6 linked regions of the Kluyveromyces lactis genome follow. The protein of the gene in region 2 interacts with the protein of the main gene of each other region in a biochemical or structural test. Links are inferred from orthologs where the notes say so. Each region holds a gene or a part of one and is shown on either strand. Other genes may lie near its edges.

Region 1 (4,207 bases), on a different chromosome or scaffold from region 2:
AATTTTCGTTATTATCCCAAAATTTAAGCTGGATATATCAATCTCTGGGCAATTACAAAACTCCGTCGGTTAGGAACCAGATACTTCGTTGTCAATTGCTTCCCACATTATAGCATACCTATATAAAGTAACACCTGATAATGGCAATAAAATATAACAAAGCACCATAAGTTGAGGCCTAACGAGGTTAAGAAAAAAATTTCTATGTAATAATATACACATGTTTTGGCAACAATATATCTATAACATATATATGTCTGTGCTTGTGTTTGTGCTTGCGCTTTCTGATTGAATAATTGAGAAGGTGCAGGGTATTGAAAAGATTGAAAGATTCATTCAACTACTCTTGTCCAAATCCGATGGTTTCTTCCACTGCTAATGTTAGCTTCTGCTTGAAAGATTCATAATCAGTGTATGGTGGAAGATCCACTCTGTTGAAACAAGTGTGTGACTTGGGTAGTTGTTGAACTTCACCTGCTTTTTCGATAGTGAATCTTCTTGGACCATCAGAACCTTGCAAATCTTTGAATCCATTGACCGGGATACGCGATGTACCAGTTGTGAATTGTAACAAACGTGCTCTTTGCTCGTTGTCCCATTCAGTGATACATTTCCAGAACCACTGGATAACTTCGTCAGACTCTTGGTATCCACGATAATCTGTGTGTTTTTTCCAGTCTTCAACATCAATTTCTGCAATACCACCAATCAATAATTCAAGTTCACGTTCATCAAACACGTTGACTAGATCTTCAGGAACCAATTCGTTAAATCCATCCATAAATGCCTTAAATTGTTCTTGAACTCTGTCTGCGATCCTCCATTGGGTATATAGTTCAACATATTCTTTCTTGTTTTCATCTGTGACTTCGATTTCTCTGCCGTTTGGTTTCAAATCGACGACAACCAGTTCACCAAATCTTTCATCATCAACATTAAATGTTAGATCTAAAATGCCATCTATGCTATTTTCTAAAATCCATTTCAAGGAGTTGTAGACTTCTGAATCGACACCTTCCATATCTTGTAATACTACCTTCTTTCTTAGCATCATCTTATATAGAGCACCAACGAAGAATGCATCCAAGAACCTTCTATGGAATACACCTAAACCGACGACTCTACCAATGAACTTGAAGTAGTTCAAATGCTCAGGGTTGATACCACTGTTTGGATTGATTTGGATAGTATAGTTATCATGGGCAGAATATTCAAATAGACAGTAGAAGGGATTAAACATCTCGTGTGATAGTAAAAAGAAGAATTCTCTTGAAACACCACCATAATCTAAACCTTCTTCACCGTCAAATTTGATCATTAGTCTCTTCTTTAAGTCTTCTGGCGTTTGTCTCATTATTTCTTGGTAAGAATCTTCGAAGATATTCTTTCTGCGTACTCTGATGTGACATTGACCTGGTAGAATTCTTAAAGCCGGTTGGGATCTGAAGTAAATAACCTTACGTCTGAAGTCACGCTTATACTGTGGAACGTTTTGATCCAAGGAAGAAGGTAATCTAGGATCATCCCAAGTGGTGGTCTTAGTGTTATGGTCAACGAAGTATACACGGGCTGTGTTTGTCAATCTCATCTCCCAACCAGAAGGCAAAGGTCCTAACTGAGATACAGGTTGTTGTTGTATGGTATTTGTGGAAGGCCCATAGGTTCTAATATATTGTTGTCTTCTTGGATCGACCCATGTCGTGGTTCTTGTGTTGTGATCAACGAAGTACGCTCTTCCTTCAGGAGTGAACCGTTGTTCCCAACCTGGTGGAAGTTCACCCAACCCCGATGTGGTACCCCCAGTGGCAGCAAAAGTAGCAGCTGCTGAACCGTTTACGGCAGGAGTTTGAGATCCAGTACCGGTATGAACAGCAACGTTTGATGAAGACGAGCCCTCTGATTGAGCACCACCATCAGGTAAAGTTCTTCCTCTGTGTTGTCTACGTTCTAGTTCGGTGTTGACACGTTGAACCTCGGATTGATCCAAAGTGGGTCTTTTCCATGTTGTTGTCCTTGTATTATGATCCACATAATATGTTCTTCCAAAGTTATCCGTTCTTCTTTCCCATCCTGGGGGTAAACGACCATATTGATCTTCAAACGATGAGTATTGCCTGCTAGCTGACGATTGAGATTGAGCTGTCGAAGGTTGACCGGATGGAGCAGCATCACTTGAACCGGCACCTGAACCTGAACTGGCGGTACCTGCAGCATTCGCAGAATCCTGGTTGTCTAATGTAGTAGTTTGCAAGTTGTTAGCAACAGTCTGAGCAATCAATCTGTTGTCGATAGTGGAAGCGTTCGTCATCGAATCCGATTGACGAGCTGCTCCGGAACCAGCAACAGCACTACCTGCGGCACCAGCAGCTCCATTACGGCTGCCAGCTCTGGGGAGAACCGTCAAAACCAATATTATTCTACCACTTACTGACAACCCGTCGTTAGAACGTTTTAAATCTCTAGTAATAGTCTCTTCACGAGCTCTACCGTTCGAAGTGGCAGTATCTTCGTCCAAGTGACCCAGAATGTCACCAATACGAACGTTGACAACACCTAGGAACCCTTGATCTTTCTTCTTGAACTTTTTCTGATCAAACACTTGAACAGTTAAGATCGAATTTTCACTCACATTTTTGAATTGAAATACTTCATTCCAGTAGGGATTCAACGTCTTCTTTGCAGCCGCTGTGGATTTCGTCTGAGAACCATCGATAGTCAAAACTGCAAACGGATCAGGAGATCTAAACACATCCCTCCTGTTCAATGACTCAGCAGCCACTAGTTTCACAGAGATAGACATATTTCGCAGCTTTTTATTTTTTTAATGGTTTGTCAATTTCAAATCCGATAATTTCTCCTTCAAAGTGGAATCTCAATAACAAATTGAAAAGTCTTCAAACACTAGATATCTGATAAGTGGTAGTAACAGCAATAATTATTAAACAAATAAAACCGCCCGAGAAAGCCTATAAGGTTTTATTTTTTGTCTTTTGTCTTCTTTAATTGTCGTAATTGCAAAGAAACAGAACAGGAAACAGAACCAGAAAAAAAGTTGATGATTCCTCTAAAAAGAAGCAAAGAAAAATCAGATCAATACCTTGCTCAATACCCTTTTCCGTACCGTCCTTTTTGCCACTGTCAATGCACGTTTGCTTATCCTCTAGCACCTTGATCTGATGATTAAATCGGATGTTGTTTGCAAGTAAAGTATCTTTGTTCTTGTTTTGTTTCCTTAATTAAAATATGCAAATCACAATTTTCTTTTCTCCTTTACTTGTCACGTGAGGAGATTGAAACCTGGAAAAAGAGTACTAAAGAGGGATACCAGGCTACGCCGAGTATGTCAGTAAATTCGGAAACGGCATTAATGGCGGTGGTAGCCACCAGGTTGCAAGAATCTGCCGTATTGCTGTCAGATGACGTGCATATGGGACGATTATGGGCATCACGTGACAAAAATCATATCGTCCAAAATGACATAAATATAAACAAGCCTTTGCCAGCTTTAAAGATGCTGGGTTTGTTTACAGGTAAACAAACCTCTTGCAAACATAAACAGGATGTTTGCTCATATGGCTGCCTAACACACTCAATAGGTAACGTGCCTTTCTCTAATTTTTGTTGCTTGTTCTGCGTTTGGTCCTATTTTTGATTGGCTCAGTGTTTGCTAGTGCTATTTTTATTTGCCCTGTATCATATATAAACATGTCGTTTCTAAAAGTGACCAGCTCTTACTCCTCTAATGGATGTACCTGTTAACAATCAATTATTCTCTGCAGTGCAAACATTACACAAAGTCAAATAAGAAACTGTATATTGCGAAAATTATGACTGAATTCTACAGGGCTCCAGAGATATTCAGACAGAACGCCATCATCGTCAAGAAGAGTAGAAGAGATATTAGCGATGACGAGAACAGTACTATTGTCAGGCGGAATTGCAAGATAGAGGCTTCGAAATTGAACAGTTCCTTGCTAAGGAAGGTTAGTGGTGATTTGAACGATGTCATTGTCACGAAAAAATTGAAGACAGATTGTTGGAAACTGTCAGAAGACACTAGGGACGTCACTTCAATGTCATTGGATAGGGACACCATTCTACTTTCCACATCACAGACATCGGATAATTTACAGTTGTTCCAATTGCGGAATAATGAAATTAATGAGCAGGCTCGCGGTGGGAAATTGCTCCATAGTTTACAAACCAT
Region 2 (4,187 bases):
CAATCATACCTCCAGTCCTTTGCAGAGGTACTAGCCCCCCAGTCGGTTGGAATGGCATTAAACCGCCTGTTGCTACTGGCATCATAATGAATCCCCCTGTAGTAATAGGGATTAGATTATTACCACCAGTTTTGAATGGATCTAATGGAACCAAAGAAGTACCCGTCTTATTTGCTGACAGAGGGGTTTCTTCCTTTTTATTCGAACCGTTAGTGGTGACAGATTCTAGATGCTTGACATCTGGAGCTGGTGTTTCTTTCTTCTTCGGCTCTAAAGGTTGCAAATCAAGCAAATCTTGAAGTGACCCAGAGAAATCCTGAGCCTTGTTGGAGCTGTCGCTGGCTTTAGCAGCAGGTCTAACAGTCCATGCATCATCATCTCTATTCGATGAATTACTATCTGGTAATAGATTATGAGATACGCCTGCAGATGCGGGAGCACCTGTATGGTTAACCTTCAAGGATCCATCGGCTTCAGTAAACAATCCAGTTGATGGAGAAGCCTCCTTTGTTCTGCCAAACTTGTTATCTAGATACTTCATTACTCTTAAAATGTCACCTTCACGTAGACCTAAGTTTCTTAATAAAGAAGGCTCGATATCTGGCAAGATTTCTTCACTAATTTGCTCTCTTTCGAAATTAATGGTGTAGCGTTGACAATTGTTGACATCAACACCAGCATTCAAGAAAAATTCGAACCAATCGTATTCGGGATTCTTGGAGCTCTTTGTGACAGGGTGCGTTTTGCTTGCTTCACTGCCTGGTCTTGGTGGTTTCACAGGTGGCAGTTCTTTGTCTTGTGCACTCCTCAGCTTTTCTCTTTCGCTTTCCAAGAGATCTCTAGCCCTCTTTAACTCTTTAAGTTCTTGCTCTCTTAATTGTCTATCACGTTCTCTTTCTTCAAGTTCCCGTTCACGCTCCTTAGCCTTTCTTCTTCTTTCACGTTCTGCGTTTACTGCACTACTGTCATTATTTGAACTCTTGGGTTTATGTTTGAATTTCTCCATAGACATACCCGTCAATCTTTCCACATACAAAATATCATCTTCGGACAATTTGTCTGCAGCAACAGCAATTTTCACACCGTTCACCTTATGTAAGTTAACCTTCCCATCGACACAGCCCAAAAACTGTGCTTCAACTTTGAAAGTACCACTTCTGTCTACCCAAATTCTAACCTTTTTAGGATCAGGGAACTCTTTATCATCAGTTTTCTTCTTCTTGGAGAAAAAGCTCGAAGTTTTAGACTTTTTCTTCGATACATCTTGATCAGCATCCTCTTTCCAGCTGCCAACTAAATTTTGAGTAAAGTTAGAAGTGTTAGATCTGGATCTGGTCTTAGACTTACTCCTAGAAGGGCTTTCATCAGAAGGCCTTGATGAGCCTGATCCGCGTGTTTCGACAAATTGTGCGGGGACAATGCCTCTTTTACCTGTTTCTACAGATTCACACATATACCAGTCTTTCGAAGTCCTGTCATCTAAGATATTAATGTAGTCGCCTTCTTTAACGGTGAGTTCATCAGGAGAGTTAGCGAAAAAGTCATATACAGCTTTAGCTCTTTTCTTGGTCATGGCAGGCCTTGAAGCAGCTTCAACTTCACGTAACCCAACTGCTGTCTGGGCACCTTTAATCTCACCCAAGACGCCCATGATCTCGTTAGCCAGATCGTTAGAGCCAGTATGCAATTCCAAGTTAATGTAAGGGTTTTTAAATTCAAGAAATAGATGCTTTTTTTCATTGTTATAGTTGATCAAATCTTTAACTGCCCATTCTTGATCCACTTTTGTCTTTGCAGAGAAGAAATGAATACGTTCAGCAGAAACAGTCAACGTAGCTTTACATTTCTTACGACCATCAACCTCACTAACAGACCAAACATGTTCAGCGGTCGAGGCTGAAGGTCTTCCATTTCTAGATGGCAGTGGAGGTTGATCTTCCTCATCGTCATCGAAATCGTAATCACGCTCATCATCTGAATAATCTCTAGTTATTTGGGAAGTTCTATTATTGTCTCTTGGGTCATCACGATAACTTGTTTGGTGTTCAGTATTAGAAGGTCTTTGAGGCATTGCTGGAGGTTCTGCTACTGCTGACTCACGCTGGACTTCTGTGGTTGCCGTATCGTTTCTCTTTGGAGGTGGAGGGAGCAGTGAAACATCAACTGGCATAGTTGTATGAGACGCAACGCCTGCATTTGATGCTGGTGGTGGTGTCGATGTAGATGGAGCTCCTGGAGCATCTGCTGTACTTGCAGCGCCAGCAGGGGTAGATCCGCTTCTGAATGATGGTTGAGAATTGACTCTGTCCAACCTCTGAGGTGGAGCTGGAAGTTCAGAAAGGGGTAGAACAGCTGGGGCTTGGTGCTTAGACTGTGTAACTCCTGCAGCGGGACCTCCAGCTTGCTGCGATTGTTTTTCCACGTAATTACCTGGCACAAACCCAACCTCTGAATTCTTGGTATTCTTCACCAAGAACCAATCTGCATCCCTATCGTCATACAATTGGAACGTATCGTTTTCATGGAATACCAATTCCTCATTGGCATTCTGAACTTGTTCATAATCGTAAAGCGCAACTACACTCCCAATCACTGGAGCCTCTTCAATATATGTCTTGGGGACCAAACCTACGGGTTCATCCTGATCAGATCCGATAACTCTCTTCTTAACGGTCCACCAATCATCAATGCTAGATTTTTCTAAAAGATACAATAGATCACCCTCTTTGACAGTTAGTTCCTCATCTGTTTGCGCAGAATAATCGTAAAGCGCCTGGTAAACACCCAAAAACACCGTCATTGTAGGTATTTAAATGCGTCAGGAGCCAAGTAAAAGGACCTATAAGCTTCCAGATTGTATACAAGGCCAAGAGGATCCCTATACAAATCGCCAATCAAATTTAATTATCCAAACTAAATTGAAATCAAAAACTAAAAGAATGCAGGAATACGAGACACTTCCTTTTTGTCGTCTCTTTTCGGTATTATGCTATTTCCTTTTATTTCTCCGTTTTGATTGGTTTTTTTTTTTCTCTTTTGCACAATTGCAATGCAACTCGCGCACTCTATCTAAACCTCAAGAGTTTGTCTGGCCTTTCTAACCCAATTCAAGCTAAAACTTGTTTATACGAATTACTTATATATGTATAGACATATATATATTTATATATGTTCTAAGTATATTGATAGACTTATTCAATTATTTTGGGCCTAATCTTTTCTCATTTTCTGATTCTCTCATTTTCACTCAGAAAAAGAACAAATGAAAATACCGACAGCACGCAGCACCGGTTCCTGGCAGTGTGGTACAAGAACCTGCAGTTTTCGAATTGTTTTTCTGTGATCCTTTGGTTACCCGGGGTTGTGTTTCGTACATGATGATACGGTGATCCCGGATCTGGAAATAAAAAGGGGTTCTTGCCCAGTTCTAGTCATGTGACTGCGAATCGCAGAGATCTGATAGAAAGAAGAAAAAAAAGAGATCATTTCTATATCACGTGATTGATGTTTCAATTCCATCATGGGTTCAAGTATCGTTATTGTCATCATCATAGAAGTCATAAATAGAGCATATATACTGTTTAGGCGAACGGAGGTTAAGTTTATTTACTCGCTCTCATACGATCTAGCTCTTTGTCAACACGAGCTTGTAGATTCTTCTTAAGTTCAGGCATGAACCCTAAAATAAATAGTAATTCGTAAAGGATGAAGTATGGCGCTAGCACAAGACTTTGCACCAAGTTATCGAGAAGCGCAGGTTTGCGCTTCTCGAAAACACCGTGGCCAATGAACTGGAAGATCCAACTGATCACAAATAATATCCAGGCAGTGGTCTGTGTCATCTTAATAGTCCCGTCGTTCAAAAATTTGCACGTCAGTGCCAATATCAACGACGCAAGGATTCCGGTACCTACTCGTAACAGTATATAGAACAACCCAAATGACAACGCTAACAAATGAGTCAAGGTATAGCCATTCCAGATCTTAACGTCGTTCAATATACGCATGGATGTAAAGAGAATCGTTGGGACAAAAATGCTATGAATTAACACATTCCCAGTATTGTTATGATAAGCTTTGTAGAACGCTAGTTGCGTCTCTAGATCTAGAAGACTGGGACTCATTCTGAGACTTGGTAGCGCAAAACCGTAACACGGATGCTTTGCTTGTGTTTTTTGATGTTGCTG
Region 3 (2,665 bases), on a different chromosome or scaffold from region 2:
TGGATGGTGGGTGGTCGTTCTTGGCAACTGGATCCGATGATGAAAGATCTGATGAGAGCGAGGAAGAAATTTCAGAATACGAGGCATCTGATGAGGATCCATCTGATGAGGAAGTGTACTCTGAAGAAGAAGAGGATTATTCGGATGACGAAAAATTCAGTGATGAAGGGTCAGATGATTTCGCCGATGGATCAGAAGATGACGAAGGTGATGACTGGGATGACTTAGAAAAGAAAGCAGCTAAGGCAGATCGTAATAGCAATTACAAAGAGTAAGATTTTTCTGTCTCTGGATAGTTTATCGTTATTTTGGGTTGTATTTTTATAAGCACATAATGTAGGCACTTTAAAATCTTTTTTATTGAAATAGTTGGTTATTCTGGTTGGTTTATTTATCTCAACGTAATTGCATTCTTATTACATATTATACATACGGTTCATCAAATTAACATGACAGCATCGAAAGTGCGATGGAAAATAACTTACTAAACCCCCTCAAGTTCAGTAGTTAGAAAACCCAGTTGCCTGTGAGCCAATCGCGCCATTTGTCAAAAGTAATGGCTGGTCATCGGAGTTAGAGCCTACTTTTGCCTTTGATGCAAACTCGGAACTTAATTGCTTGATCGCATCATTTTGCTCCTTCTTCACAGAAATTTCATATGGTTTAATAAATGTTTCCAAGTTATTCAACCAAGCTTGTTCAAGGACAGTATCGTATGTAATCAAGTGGTAACAAGAATATAGTAAAGCGATAAATCCTTCTTTGTTGTCGGTTTCAATGAAGAATGATAATAGGTCTTCGGCGATCTGTTGACTTTGTGAAATTGCAGCAGTTTCAATAGCATGTTTCCAGAGCTGTTCGCCCTTGAAGATAGCCAAACTCTTGGCCCACTTTTTGTTTCTACGGTACAATTCGGCAGCAATAATCTTGAAGAAAATTATCTCATGATTTTCCAAACGGGTGGCCAACTCTAGTTGATCAAACTTATCATACGAGCTAACAGCGTCTTGAAGAGCTTTGTAATCAACCTCTTCGATCATCAAATCGTGATAAGCCTGATTAACTACGGAGTTGTTTTTTGGCAAGACATTAATTAAGAATGGTTTAATCAATGGTAGATTGTCAGATTTGGAGAAAATTCTAACAGTTCTTGGAATGTCTAATCTTGGAATCAACACGGTTAATAAATCAACAAGTAGTGAAGGGTGTTCCTTCACATAAAAGTTGATTGCTTTGTAGTAAATTTCCAAGTTTGACACTTTAACAATGATTTCTTTGAAGTACGAATGGTCAAAGTTATAGGCAGACTTTTCAATCATCGTTAAAGCAGCATTATCCCATTCATCGTAGTGTGCATACAAAAAGATCAATTCTGGCCATAAATGAGCATCCTCTACAGCCCTTATGACTTTTGGAATGTTAATACGAGACCAGAATAGCTTTAGGTGTTCATAAGTCTTGGATGGATTGTACTTAGTGTAAAGGATTGCCAATTCAGTAAACATACCCATATGAGCTCTTTCCAAACCTAAACCTGCTTCGAATAGGGAAATTAGCTCCTCGAAATACCCGTTGTGCTCATATACAGCAACCAATTCGTCTAACTCCTCGGCATGAACAACCAAATTCAAACCACAGATTTGAGCCAATCTAAATTCTTTATTGGAAATACATGCGTCGTTAACCTGTCTCCACACCTTAACATTGGAAGCTTTTCTGGCGGTATCGACAGCATTTTGATAATCACCCAAATAAACTAAAGTGCTAGCCAACTTAGAGTAGTTAGAAATAGAAGAGTAACATAATTTGGCAGCTTTGTAATCATTATGCTGGGATAACTTATCACCAACTTCTTCTAGGTTAGCAACGGTAGAGACTGACAACAAGTTTTCAATTTCATTCAACTTACTCAATTCAGCGTATGCCAAGATTAATGCTCCGTCGATTACCGGTTCCTTCAAAGATTCTCTAGCCATCAACAAATATGGGACAAGCTCTTCAAATTTACCAGCGTCTTCGGCAGCCTTGATAACGTTCATGAAGTTCGAAGGATCTTTAGCCTTGATGTAAGAGTCAATAGCTTCTGGGATACGTAATGCATTTAATTCTGCAGTACCAAGTTGAGACCATAGCTCTGGTGTGTTGATTTTGTCGGCATATGATTCTGCTCTGTCTAACATCAAAAGATCTTCGACTATAACTTTCAATGCTTTGTCATGTTTCCCATGTTTATCATAAATTTCGAAGGCTTCTTCATTTAATTCATTTTCAATACACAATGGTGCAATTTCATCAACATCATAATGATCTAATTTCTCAATTAAGCCACTTACCTTGTTAGGTTCATATCTAATAGCAGAGAGAAGCAATAAACCTTGCAAAGCAGGATTGTCATTGAAAGGAGATGGCTCTAGGATAATCTTCTCTAACAATTCAATTAACTCCGTCTTTAATCCGTTAGACATAAAAGCCTGCACAGTCAAAGACACTGGTTCTGGATCAGTAAGCTCAGGAATGCCAACGCTAATGACAGCATCAACCAATTGACGTCTATGGATATTGTCAGGAGACAACACAATGTTCCACAAATCAGAGTTTGAACGAGCCAACAAATATCTGGCCTGATATTTGTACATACTATTTTCGTTTGTGATTCTAATCAAAT
Region 4 (4,094 bases), on a different chromosome or scaffold from region 2:
ATCACAAGAGATTCTGATATATTTATGGGATAACTACTTGAAATTCTTCCAAAATCTACAAAAGGTGGCATTTATCGGCATTGGAGATGCCTACGGAGGCATTGTCCATTTATTAGGCCATAGGGATACCAGGTCAGTGGTAAAATGTGCAATATCATTTTTAGACAAAAAACCTCTTAAAGTAATGGTGCCATTAATTGACGAAACGTTAGGAGATTGGTATTTCAAGAATTCCTTGGTATTCACAAGTAGCACACATTCTTGTTGGGGTAGTACGGCCAACGAAAATAAGAAGTTAAGAAAGAAGTATGGTAGAGTTTTGAAGGCAGATTGTGACGGAATGACAAACATATTCGATGAACGTTTTGAAGAAGCAACTGATTTCATATTGGATTCTTTCGAAGAATGGAGTGAATCGGAATAATTAGAATATCATTATAAAGATATATGTAATTTTAAAAGTATTCTATAATGCACTTGGAAATCTTCTTTCAAACTCTTTCATTTCTTTTCGAGATTGGAAAGGGCTACCCACAGAATCTTGATCGGAATCCTGCTCTTTAACTTCGGATTTTGCTGGGCTTGTTCTGAAAGATTTTGCCTTTAGGTGTTTAGGCTTAGGTGGAAGATTTGGCTTCAAATGAGCTGGTTTGGGTGGCGGTGCTGGTTTGGATTTAGGAGCCTCATGCACAGGAGTGATCACTGTACTTGATTTACGATTTGCATTGGATTTATGGTGGTCAGATATATCGGTTTTCCTCCCAATATCAGTATATTTCCCGTATCCAGTGGCAGAAGAGCGATTGGGTATATCATCTGCATTGATTAGATCTTTAACGCGCTTCTGGATCGAAGATGAAGTTTTCAAGGAAGAGGATCTTCTCAGTGATGATTTTGGTTTCTCCTTTTGTATATCTTCGATCAATTCATAGTCATTATTTTCCGGAACGAAGGAAAACGAGCTGGTGGACCGCCTATGGGATTTGGTGTTAGAAGAAGTATTTTCAGGAATGGATTTGCCTGAAGTACTTCTATACTTTCTTGCTTCTAAAGATGATTTTCTGGAACTGCTATCACCAGTGAACTGCATTGAGGAAATTCCCTTTCTTAATGCGTTAAATGCGGATTTTACGCTTTCACCGGTATTTTGTGCACTTCTAATGGTTGAAAAGCCCCTCTTCTCTCCGGTGATAACTTTTTTCATCTTAGAACCTATTTTACGAGTCAAGCTACCGCCAGTTGAGGTAGCTTCCAAGGATTCCGCAGAAGACAGAGATGATGCGACTGATTTTCTAGACAGAGATCGTGAAAGACCCAGTTCTGATGGATGATCGCTGGTTTGAGTTTCAGAGTCCACATACTTTGGTCTATCTAAGGATGTTCTGTTTGATGCCAAGATACTTGAAATGGCACCTCTACCATTTCTTACTGGACTCACAGAGGCTCTAGGCACTACTGATTGCGATCTTGTCAGAAGATGAGGCTGTTGATATTCTAGTTGTGGTATTCTCATTGCCCTCGGTAGTGATTCCATTGTAGCAGAAGTAGACAAAAGAGCAGATCTATCAATTTTGGAGAATGGATCTGAACTTGTGTAGTTTGAAACCGTCTGAGGAACTGTTTTTCCTGCAGGTTGCTTTTGTGAGAGTAAATCCTGCTGTGTGACCATAGGTTGACTCTTAGACACATGCAAATAAGGCAAGTGCTGAATAGATGCAGTTTTCGATGGAGTCTGTACGTTTGATACAACTTGGGGGGGCAGATGCTGAGTTGAAACAGAAGTTGGCACAGTTGCCGGCACAGTCATCTGTGGCACATGAGGAGGTGGCGACACCCTTGGTTGTTCCTGTTTATCCATCATTCTTAACAGATAAAAGTTTTTGATTGGACATGGAATGCCTTGAATACGTGAAACCTCTTCTACCACTTGACAAATATTCGGACGTTTCAGAGGATCTACACGTAACATGACACTTATCAAATTTTTCACTCTATCAGAATAACGTGGATAGGCTGGGAACTCGAATTTAGATGCTAAGATGGCAGATTCCCCATTTTTCTCGAACGGCGTAGTATAATAGCATGTTTTGTACAGGAAGACACCCAATGCCCAAATATCAGACTTCTCGTCTATCGGTAAACCACGGTATAAGTCGATCATTTCTGGACATCTGTACTGCGCCGTTGTATTTTTCATTATATCGTACTGGACATAGTTAAACTCCTCTGTATTTCTTGGCGCTCGAATGACACCAGACACTGATCCGAAATCACAAAGCTTAAATTCATGATTTTTCGAGAGCAAGACATTCTCAATCTTAATATCTCTATGGATCAATGGTGGTTGCAGAGCATGCATAGCAGCAACACCTTGACTCACTTGACTCATGATATTGAGAATCTCAAACTCTTGAAGTCTATTCTGCAATCTGGTATTCATGAAATCGATAAGCCCACCGCCAGAACAGTATTCCATAAGCAAGTACACTTCATACATTCCTACGTTAACCGGAGACTTAGTGGCATGTGAATCGATATACGAAACAATGAATTTGTTGCCTCTAAGAGCCTTCATTGAATCCACTTCCGCCCTCAATGTGTTAAGACTTGCTTTGTCAGGAACAACAACTCTCTTTAAACATGCTACATTATCTGGGCATACCGGATCTGGCGGGCTAATTTCAACGGAATATACATGCGCGAACCCACCGCTCGCGAGATATTTCAAAACCTTCACCTGATGCGATCCAACAGGCAATATGGTACCCGATGCGTATTTCTCAATTTGCGGCTGATTCATTTTAAAGATCCATATAGATGTGAATTCAGAATGCAAAGAAAAAGAGAAAAGCCAGCAGTTAAAATACAGTAAGCGTATAACGCCAACACAAATGGGTTAACCTTCGAGAAAACTTTTGCAAATGCCGTCTTTCCTACGTGCTCTCTTGTACTGTGACCTATAGCACAAAAGTATATAAGCAAATTGATGGAAATTTGTCCAGGCAGAATGAAGTAAAAAAAAATAATGCAAAACTCACAATTGATAAAAGTGCACCACTTGGATGAACTATGAAATGCAAAAAAAATAAATGTAAGGATAAAACCCCGTAGCTTGGTGGAACTACTATGCTTCTTGTTGCCCTGCTCAACGCTGTAAACCTCATTGAATAGCACTTAATTTACCAAATCTATAATTTTTTATATGAAAAAAAAACTGACTTCCATTTTCAATGTTCAAGCCTGATTTTTTTGTCAACATTGGAAAATGTTAATAGGGGCGGGTCCCTAAAAAGAGTGATAACAACTGCAAGGAAAAAGGAACAATAGGTGAAGGCAAGTCTTGGACCCTGGTGCTTACTTGTGCCCTTATTTTTTGTGGAGAAAAGTTTCTCAGCAGGGAATAGTTACAGCGGTGGCCTTGTGGTTTTGCTAAGGCCTCCTATGCTAATAAACATTAATTTGGAATAATGTGGCTTAAAAAAAAGTGATGGAATATATGGTTCTCTTCAGCCTGTGAGATGTCAAGATGTTGATGTTTTTTATCTAACCATTTCAGTCACGTGCCACCAGATCTGGATCTTCAGAATCAGATGAATCGATATTTGTTATTAGCTGCATGTCTATGTAACATATTGCTACTTATCCGTCAATTAGATTGGTAGCTACTCGATTATTGTTCCTGAGCGGTCTCGCCACCATGCGCCATGAGTTTGGAAAAATATACGAAAAACCATAAGATCTGGTTCCTTGGCCCAGTTGGTTAAGGCACCGTGCTAATAACGCGGGGATCAGCGGTTCGATCCCGCTAGGAACCATTCTTTTTACCATTTCCTTCCACCTTCGAACATGAATCTTTCTTTTTCAGTAGTTAAAGCTATTATTTTTGATTAGAGGTAGAAAAGATTCATCTCATCCCATCGAGTAAACTAGTTTGTTAAAGTCTACTGCACTATAACCAGTCACGGTGCGAAGTCCCACAATGTCCTTCAACAAATACAAATGTCGCTACTTTGAAGAAAACAACTGGTGCTTGAAATTGCAACCTCTATATCAACATGGATTGATGACATCGATAAGTGACGGCTCAGTGCATT
Region 5 (3,088 bases), on a different chromosome or scaffold from region 2:
TCCTCAAATGATGTATCTCACATTTTCATTGATATCTGGAAATATGGCCACGCTCTATGCAACAAGAAAGAAGTTATTGAAAGTGTCAAGATAAAGCTGATAAGGTATGGTGGGCTATTGAAAGAAAAGTTCCCCCACACCAATACCATGGTCGACTTTGGCATTTTGGAGATTCTTAGAGTGGATGACTCCTCAGTATTGAAAGCTGAAGCTTTAAATATTGGAATATCTCAGTAGAAATTGCCAACGGATGATATATTACTATCTTCTACTATTTATAACATTATCATAGTTGTTATGTATCTCTGAAAATGTATATAATATATACAAGACCCTAAACTTTTTATCCAAAGAATGTAAGGAAAAAAAAAAAATGCAAAAAAAAAAAAAATTGAATTGAGTATAAATGATACAACGGCTTTGCGTGGTCTCAAGCTCGTTAATAAACTCCCTATCGAGTTTCACTCCAGTAATCGGAAATATGAAATAAATCTTTACCATTAGATGCCACCTCTTAATCTCAAGACAAGATGTAAAGTGGATTCCTTTTGGATGTTATAGTCAGACAAGGTTCTGCCATCTTCCAACTGCTTACCTGCAAAAATTAATCTTTGTTGGTCTGGAGGAATACCTTCTTTGTCTTGAATCTTAGACTTGACGTTATCGATGGTGTCGGAAGATTCGACTTCCAAAGTGATGGTCTTACCAGTCAAGGTTTTGACGAAAATTTGCATACCACCTCTTAATCTCAAGACAAGATGTAAAGTGGATTCCTTTTGGATGTTATAGTCAGACAAGGTTCTGCCATCTTCCAACTGCTTACCTGCAAAAATTAATCTTTGTTGGTCTGGAGGGATACCTTCTTTGTCTTGAATCTTAGACTTGACGTTATCGATGGTGTCGGAAGATTCGACTTCCAAAGTGATGGTCTTACCGGTTAAGGTTTTGACGAAAATTTGCATACCACCTCTTAATCTCAAAACAAGATGCAAAGTGGATTCTTTTTGGATGTTGTAATCGGACAAGGTTCTGCCATCTTCCAACTGCTTACCTGCAAAAATTAATCTTTGTTGGTCTGGAGGGATACCTTCTTTGTCTTGAATCTTAGACTTGACGTTATCGATGGTGTCGGAAGATTCGACTTCCAAAGTGATGGTCTTACCGGTTAAGGTTTTGACGAAAATTTGCATACCACCTCTTAATCTCAAAACAAGATGCAAAGTGGATTCTTTTTGGATGTTGTAATCGGACAAGGTTCTGCCATCTTCCAACTGCTTACCTGCAAAAATTAATCTTTGTTGGTCTGGAGGGATACCTTCTTTGTCTTGAATCTTAGACTTGACGTTATCGATGGTGTCGGAAGATTCGACTTCCAAAGTGATGGTCTTACCAGTCAAGGTTTTGACGAAAATTTGCATACCACCTCTTAATCTCAAGACAAGATGTAAAGTGGATTCCTTTTGGATGTTATAGTCAGACAAGGTTCTGCCATCTTCCAACTGCTTACCTGCAAAAATTAATCTTTGTTGGTCTGGAGGGATACCTTCTTTGTCTTGAATCTTCGATTTCACGTTATCGATGGTGTCAGAAGATTCAACTTCCAAAGTGATAGTCTTACCAGTTAAAGTCTTAACGAAAATTTGCATGTTTTCTCTTGATCTAGTTTTAAGGGGAATGAGAGGGGGGGGGGTAAATAATTTGGGGTGAAATAGTATAACCTTGAGTCAGTATCTTCTATGAGAGAAACTCTTGATGCTCCTTCTTAACCAATATGATGTTGTTAATAATATCAGGAAACAAACTGCCAAAATAACCCTTTTGTTTTTATATATACTCCCTTTTTTTTTTAAAAAAAAAGGAACTTGTTCGCTTATTTCTTTTATTTTATCTCCCTATCAGTTCTTACTAATAACGGAGAATATAGCACAAAAAATGAAAATAAGAACAATAATGATAGCTGCTATGCTGTCCAAACTTTCAGAATAGATATATGAATGCGATATAGGTAGTAATAGTATCTAACCCGAATAATATCTTAGAAAAAGATAAACGTATTTAGAGAATAAACGGGGGAAAGAACAATCAGAAGTGGCAAATACGAGAGAAAAAAAGGCGGCCGCCCAAGTGATCACTATTTATATAAAAGCATCCAGTGTAATCAGTTTCGCTCGGCCTAAGGTGGCCGTTTGAAAAGAAAAATTTCCCGAGAGGGAATTCGATGGAAAACCGGCAGTTTGGAATCTGTTACGTTGCAGCCATCTCTGTATTTCAGCCTTGTATCTTTAACTGTTTGCAATGAATCTTTTCTCCGGCTTACAGATCGCCATGACTTGAGGTTTATGATTGCATGACGAAGAGCGGGGATATATGGAATGAACTGCTAACTTTGATTGTTCAGAGTAAAGAGCATACCGCTTTGTATCCACTGATACCTTCTGCAGTACAGTGTGTATATGCAGAGGTAACCATGGAAACTCATGGAACAATGAAGTTTATCCTTTTTTTTTAGACTTGCGGGGAGAATCTAAGATACAGACAGACGAAAAAAGTGACTCGAAGTCATCCACGTGATTAAATCAGGGTAACATACATCATATTTTATCTGCCTGGCTTCTCCTAAATTCATTCTTGACCTTTCAGATGCTCCCGGAACATACCCAGGCCAAATATCTCTGTCATTGAGGTTCCTGGCGGGATAATTCGGACTGCCCAGAATCTCTTCGATATTACTTGTCTTATAGTCCTAGATGACACTTTTTTTTCGACTCTTTTTATGATAGCGGTGTTCTTAACGCCTTTGTCGTATACTCAGGTGACACTTTCCATCATATTGAGCTGTATGGTCTTTCTCCATTCAGCATCCGAGGAAAGGGACTTCATTAAGTAAGGAGTCCAAGAAGTTCTCTGATAGGCATGTAGGCTGCCGTAGGCGATTGAGCGGCATTTAATTTAGTCGAATTTAGAAGAAAATGCAACAATTTCTGTACTTTTTTCTCGTATCGATAGTGAAAAGGGGAGACAGCACAAACAAAAACAGGAATTTTTTTTTAGGCAAAAGTAAATAGTACAACTACTAATGGGGTTACAT
Region 6 (3,757 bases), on a different chromosome or scaffold from region 2:
GAGGAAGAGGAAGCTTCAGAATCCATGATTGAATTTGTCAAATCACTATCGCAAAAATCTCGTCTCCTTAAGCTCTTGTTGAGTTCATTATCCAAATCGATAACCATAAAAAAGGATACTGTAACTACAGCAGCATATCTATCTGAGCTAAATCAACTCCACAATTCAATAGTTTCTAACTCTGATACTTTAATTTCATCCACCTTAGTGAACGCTGAATATGAAGTAGATCCAGAAGTGGAAACATCAGTACTTGCTATCAATAATGATGTTAAGAAAGTTATAAAAATTATTACACAGCTAAACGGTTCAGATGAGTCCAAGTTGAAATGGATACAGGTATGGTCAAATAAGTGGAGTTCTTTGAATAATTAGTTTAGTTTTATCTGTCTTCTGTTTTAAAGGCATCTGAAAGTAATATATAGGTACACCGTACATACAAATACCAAATCATAATTCCACAGTCTAGTCAGATGCAGTTCAAGTAGGGTGAATTACTTTCACCAATCATCACCGTTGTCTATATCATCGTCACGAGCAACTTTATTCTTTCTTTGGTTTAAAGCCGCAGCTAGGGCATCAGCCAAGGACGCAGGAGCACCAACAGGTCCGCCAGTTGACCCGCCTGTGGGTTGAGATACCGGCGCATCACTACGAACTTCTTGTAACAAAGGACTTGGCTTTTCAAGTTGAGATTTATCCACCTTACGGAGGGAATTCAGACCAGCTCCACGAATCGATGCTAATAAGGCATCCCTTCCAGCATCACCAGTATTTTCAACAAAACCAGATCCTGCTTCAGGTTGATTAAATGCAGGGGCTGGAGGAGGAGGAGGAGGTGGTGGTGGTGCGGGCGCTGAGTTCGTTATCTGTGGAGCAAAAGGTGCCGGAGGGGCAGGAGGTGCTGGGGGAGGTGCAGTGCCATTAGGTACCGCTATATGATGCTGGGGTTGGGCTAACATAGGCTCGGTCGATGGGTGATACTGAGTGCTTACACCTGAGTGGGGTGGTAAGACAGGGGGAGGCGGAATGTATGCGGTTTGCTGTGGTGGTTGATATTGCTGAACAGGAGGCGCTGCATTGTAGGTATTATGCTGTTGAAGAGGAGGAGATTGCATTTGTGGTGGAAGCTGGGGCTGGGGAGGGCCGATGGCTGAGTTATGAGTTGTACCTCTGCTTGCAGGTGGAGAAGGAGCCTGGCCACCACGTCTAGGTGGTGGTGGTGGTGGAGGCCCTCTTCCAGTACGACTATGCTGACCGCCAGTTGGAGCATTAGGTAGAGGACCTCTTGAAGGAATGGACGGCGGAGCAGCTGAGCGTCTTGGAGGGGGAGGTGGTACCGGACCACGCCTCGAAACTGGAGGAGCAATACCAGGTCTCGTTGAAGTTGGTCTCGGAGGTGGTTGCAGACCAGCAACAGAATATTGTCCAAACTGAGGAGTGTTGTTATTAGTGACGTTTTGTTGTTGAGCTGGATGGGAAGGTGGAGGAGGGATTGCAACGCTTTGCTGCATAGGCGGAATCGAAGGAGGTGCTGCAGGTGAAGGAGAATTATGCTGCTGCTGGAATTGCGGATGAGGTGACTGAGCCAGTGGACGATATTGTTCTGCTGGTAAAGGAGGAGGAACTGCATGTACCGGGTGGTTTATTGGTGGAGGAGGATTACTTGGTGCTGGTGTTGATGCATAGGATGAATCCGGGGTAGGAGAATGAGTAGAGGAAACCGATGGAGGTGCAGGAGAGCTTGGGAATGATGGAATAGAGTCGTACTTATAAGATGGGATGCTCACAGGAGGAGGAGGTTGTTTCTCGACAGGCGGTGGCGGTGGTTTCGAGGCAAAAGAAGGAGGAGCGGCACTTGCATCTGAAGCTGAGTTTTCAGTTGAAGCATAATTCTGGCTGGGCTGCTCGTAATGGTGTTCCTGGCGGTGCTCGTGCTTTTCCGGTTCATATCTATATCTGACCCTTTGGTCACTGATCAAGGATTCGCCTCTTGGACCATGGATCACTTTACTCTCTTCCTCTTTCTTAATTTGGTCCTCTAATGCAATTGCATTCTTGTTGGCCAAGGTCTTCTTGGACGCGTATTTCTCCCGTTTCTGTACTCGTTTCAAAAAATGTGAAGCATCGCCAATATCGGTGAATAACAACCCGGCGTTACATTGTTCTAATTCAAAGGTATGAAAGAAAGTACGATCCTGGTTATATTGAAAGTTCACGTACAATTCTTGATCCCAGAGAACACCTCGATGCCCATGCACGTCGATCAACTTCAAAAAGAAAGTATTACCAACGATATCGTCCACCAATGCAATGGCACCAGATAAGCCAGTATAAACCCATTTCTCTGGATTAGGGTATGCAATGTATAACCTAGCGATAGTAACATCTATAATCTTGTTAGAAGCCTTGGGCAAAGCATGTTTAACCTTTTCTTTCTCAGCAGAATTCAAGCCTCCCATAGTATACTCGGAAACAACTGCTTTATGATTATTAATTTCTCAAAAGAAGTGTAAACTCGTTCAACTTGAAATCAATTCTTGACGGAGGCAGCTACCGATGGGTTCTAATGAAAATAACACAAACGCGCGATGCACTTTAGGGAGTGGGGGGGTTTGGCTGACTATAATTTACGGTTCTTAAGTTTTCGGTCTGTTTAACATTTCGCAACTTTTCAATTTTTCAATATTGAAAGTTGAAGCGATTCTTAATACGGCATTATTCCCCTATAATTCACAGAGTGATTCAGTGAAAGAAGAAGGGACCAACAGAACTGCGAGAGAGATAAAAAAAAAAGGACCTTTACACAATGGGGTTTGTTCAAGTTGCCATATTGAATTCAAAAGTACTAACAGACCATTTGTAAATGGGAATACAGTGTGCCCATTTAGGTCACTGCAAGGTACAGGAAAGACAAGAAGCATTTCAGTACGAACACGCATTCGAACATAATACGGAGAAAAATTAAGAGTTCTGTTTACTGATACATCTGGCCGACGCATGTGGACGTGGTTACAGCGGCACAATGGCAGAAGAATTTCTGTCCTGACCCAGGAACCGTCTGGCACTGCAGCATCTGACAAAAGTCAGAATCACTTTGTACGTGTTGATCGCTTTATGCTGGGTTTTTTTGGCAACCAGCATGCGGTATTCAAAAGGTAAACAACAGCTACATGCTCGAAGAGATCAGAGGGAGAAACATCGAAAGATGGTTTTTTTTTGCAGGTGGACGGTGTTTGGATTGCGTGCTTATGATGTGAAATAGTTTACAACAGGCGGCGTGATTGGGTTTACATTTTGTGTCTTGTTTACAGTTACGTTAAACGTAAATGCTTTCTTCTCTTTAGTCCAGCGTAAAACTCTTCCAAAAAGAATTCTTTTTCCTAGGCACTTTTTTGACACGAAATTATGTTTTAGCATATTACAGGAACAGCTTTTGGATGTTGCGAAACAAAACGAAACGAAACAGAGTAAACATAAACAGTGAGCAGGAGCAAGTGTTTGAGAATGCTTTCTGTGGTGTGTTTGTTTACATGCTTTGGAATGTTTGAAACAAGTGCTGGGGTCCAGCTCGATGTCATATTTTGTGATTTCTGGTATATAAAGGGCACAACAATGGCAGGATGAGGTACCAGTAATGCAACTATCAATCATTGTGTTAAACTGGTCACCAGAAATACAAGATATCAAAAATTACTAATACTACCATAACAGTACTTACCTGTGTGCGTGTGCTATCTCTCTATACAAGCCTTTA

The links.
Region 1: the proteins of SLA1 (region 2) and RSP5 form a complex in vitro, tested with the Saccharomyces cerevisiae proteins (2 studies listed by BioGRID, with this or other methods). The link is inferred for Kluyveromyces lactis from reciprocal best matches to the Saccharomyces cerevisiae genes SLA1 and RSP5.
Region 3: the proteins of SLA1 (region 2) and CHC1 form a complex in vitro, tested with the Saccharomyces cerevisiae proteins (2 studies listed by BioGRID). The link is inferred for Kluyveromyces lactis from reciprocal best matches to the Saccharomyces cerevisiae genes SLA1 and CHC1.
Region 4: of the proteins of SLA1 (region 2) and KLLA0_E08405g, one has a biochemical effect on the other in vitro, tested with the Saccharomyces cerevisiae proteins (2 studies listed by BioGRID). The link is inferred for Kluyveromyces lactis from reciprocal best matches to the Saccharomyces cerevisiae genes SLA1 and PRK1.
Region 5: the proteins of SLA1 (region 2) and UBI4 form a complex in vitro, tested with the Saccharomyces cerevisiae proteins (3 studies listed by BioGRID, with this or other methods). The link is inferred for Kluyveromyces lactis from reciprocal best matches to the Saccharomyces cerevisiae genes SLA1 and UBI4.
Region 6: the proteins of SLA1 (region 2) and LAS17 form a complex in vitro, tested with the Saccharomyces cerevisiae proteins (2 studies listed by BioGRID, with this or other methods). The link is inferred for Kluyveromyces lactis from reciprocal best matches to the Saccharomyces cerevisiae genes SLA1 and LAS17.

What each region holds. Positions count from the first base shown.
Region 1 is NC_006041.1:1,196,726-1,200,932, reverse strand, and holds RSP5 (NEDD4 family E3 ubiquitin-protein ligase), read right to left. Parts: upstream 2,801-4,207; coding exon 341-2,800; downstream 1-340. Other genes in the region: DSE1 (Dse1p), read left to right, coding at 3,747-4,207. UniProt on the Saccharomyces cerevisiae protein: E3 ubiquitin-protein ligase which accepts ubiquitin from an E2 ubiquitin-conjugating enzyme in the form of a thioester and then directly transfers the ubiquitin to targeted substrates.
Region 2 is NC_006037.1:445,988-450,174, forward strand, and holds the start of SLA1 (cytoskeletal protein-binding protein SLA1), read right to left. Parts: upstream 2,801-4,187; coding exon 1-2,800. Other genes in the region: 2-hydroxy-palmitic acid dioxygenase MPO1, read right to left, coding at 3,603-4,124. UniProt on the Saccharomyces cerevisiae protein: Component of the PAN1 actin cytoskeleton-regulatory complex required for the internalization of endosomes during actin-coupled endocytosis. The complex links the site of endocytosis to the cell membrane-associated actin cytoskeleton.
Region 3 is NC_006042.1:910,805-913,469, forward strand, and holds the end of CHC1 (clathrin heavy chain), read right to left. Parts: coding exon 501-2,665; downstream 1-500. Other genes in the region: chromatin-remodeling protein SPT16, read left to right, coding at 1-275. UniProt on the Saccharomyces cerevisiae protein: Clathrin is the major protein of the polyhedral coat of coated pits and vesicles. In yeast, it is involved in the retention of proteins in an intracellular membrane compartment, presumably the trans-Golgi.
Region 4 is NC_006041.1:755,739-759,832, forward strand, and holds KLLA0_E08405g (Ark/Prk/Nak family serine/threonine-protein kinase), read right to left. Parts: upstream 2,801-4,094; coding exon 467-2,800; downstream 1-466. Other genes in the region: histone deacetylase HDA1, read left to right, coding at 1-424; KLLA0_E08449g (uncharacterized protein), read left to right, coding at 3,980-4,094. UniProt on the Saccharomyces cerevisiae protein: Protein kinase involved in the regulation of actin cytoskeleton organization and endocytosis. Phosphorylates PAN1 which disrupts the interaction between PAN1 and END3, and between PAN1 and SLA1. Phosphorylates SCD5.
Region 5 is NC_006041.1:74,448-77,535, forward strand, and holds UBI4 (ubiquitin), read right to left. Parts: upstream 1,647-3,088; coding exon 501-1,646; downstream 1-500. Other genes in the region: ECM29 (Ecm29p), read left to right, coding at 1-237. UniProt on the Saccharomyces cerevisiae protein: Ubiquitin exists either covalently attached to another protein, or free (unanchored).
Region 6 is NC_006039.1:433,425-437,181, reverse strand, and holds LAS17 (actin-binding protein LAS17), read right to left. Parts: upstream 2,463-3,757; coding exon 501-2,462; downstream 1-500. Other genes in the region: KLLA0_C04796g (uncharacterized protein), read left to right, coding at 1-375; KLLA0_C04752g (uncharacterized protein), read right to left, coding at 3,250-3,654.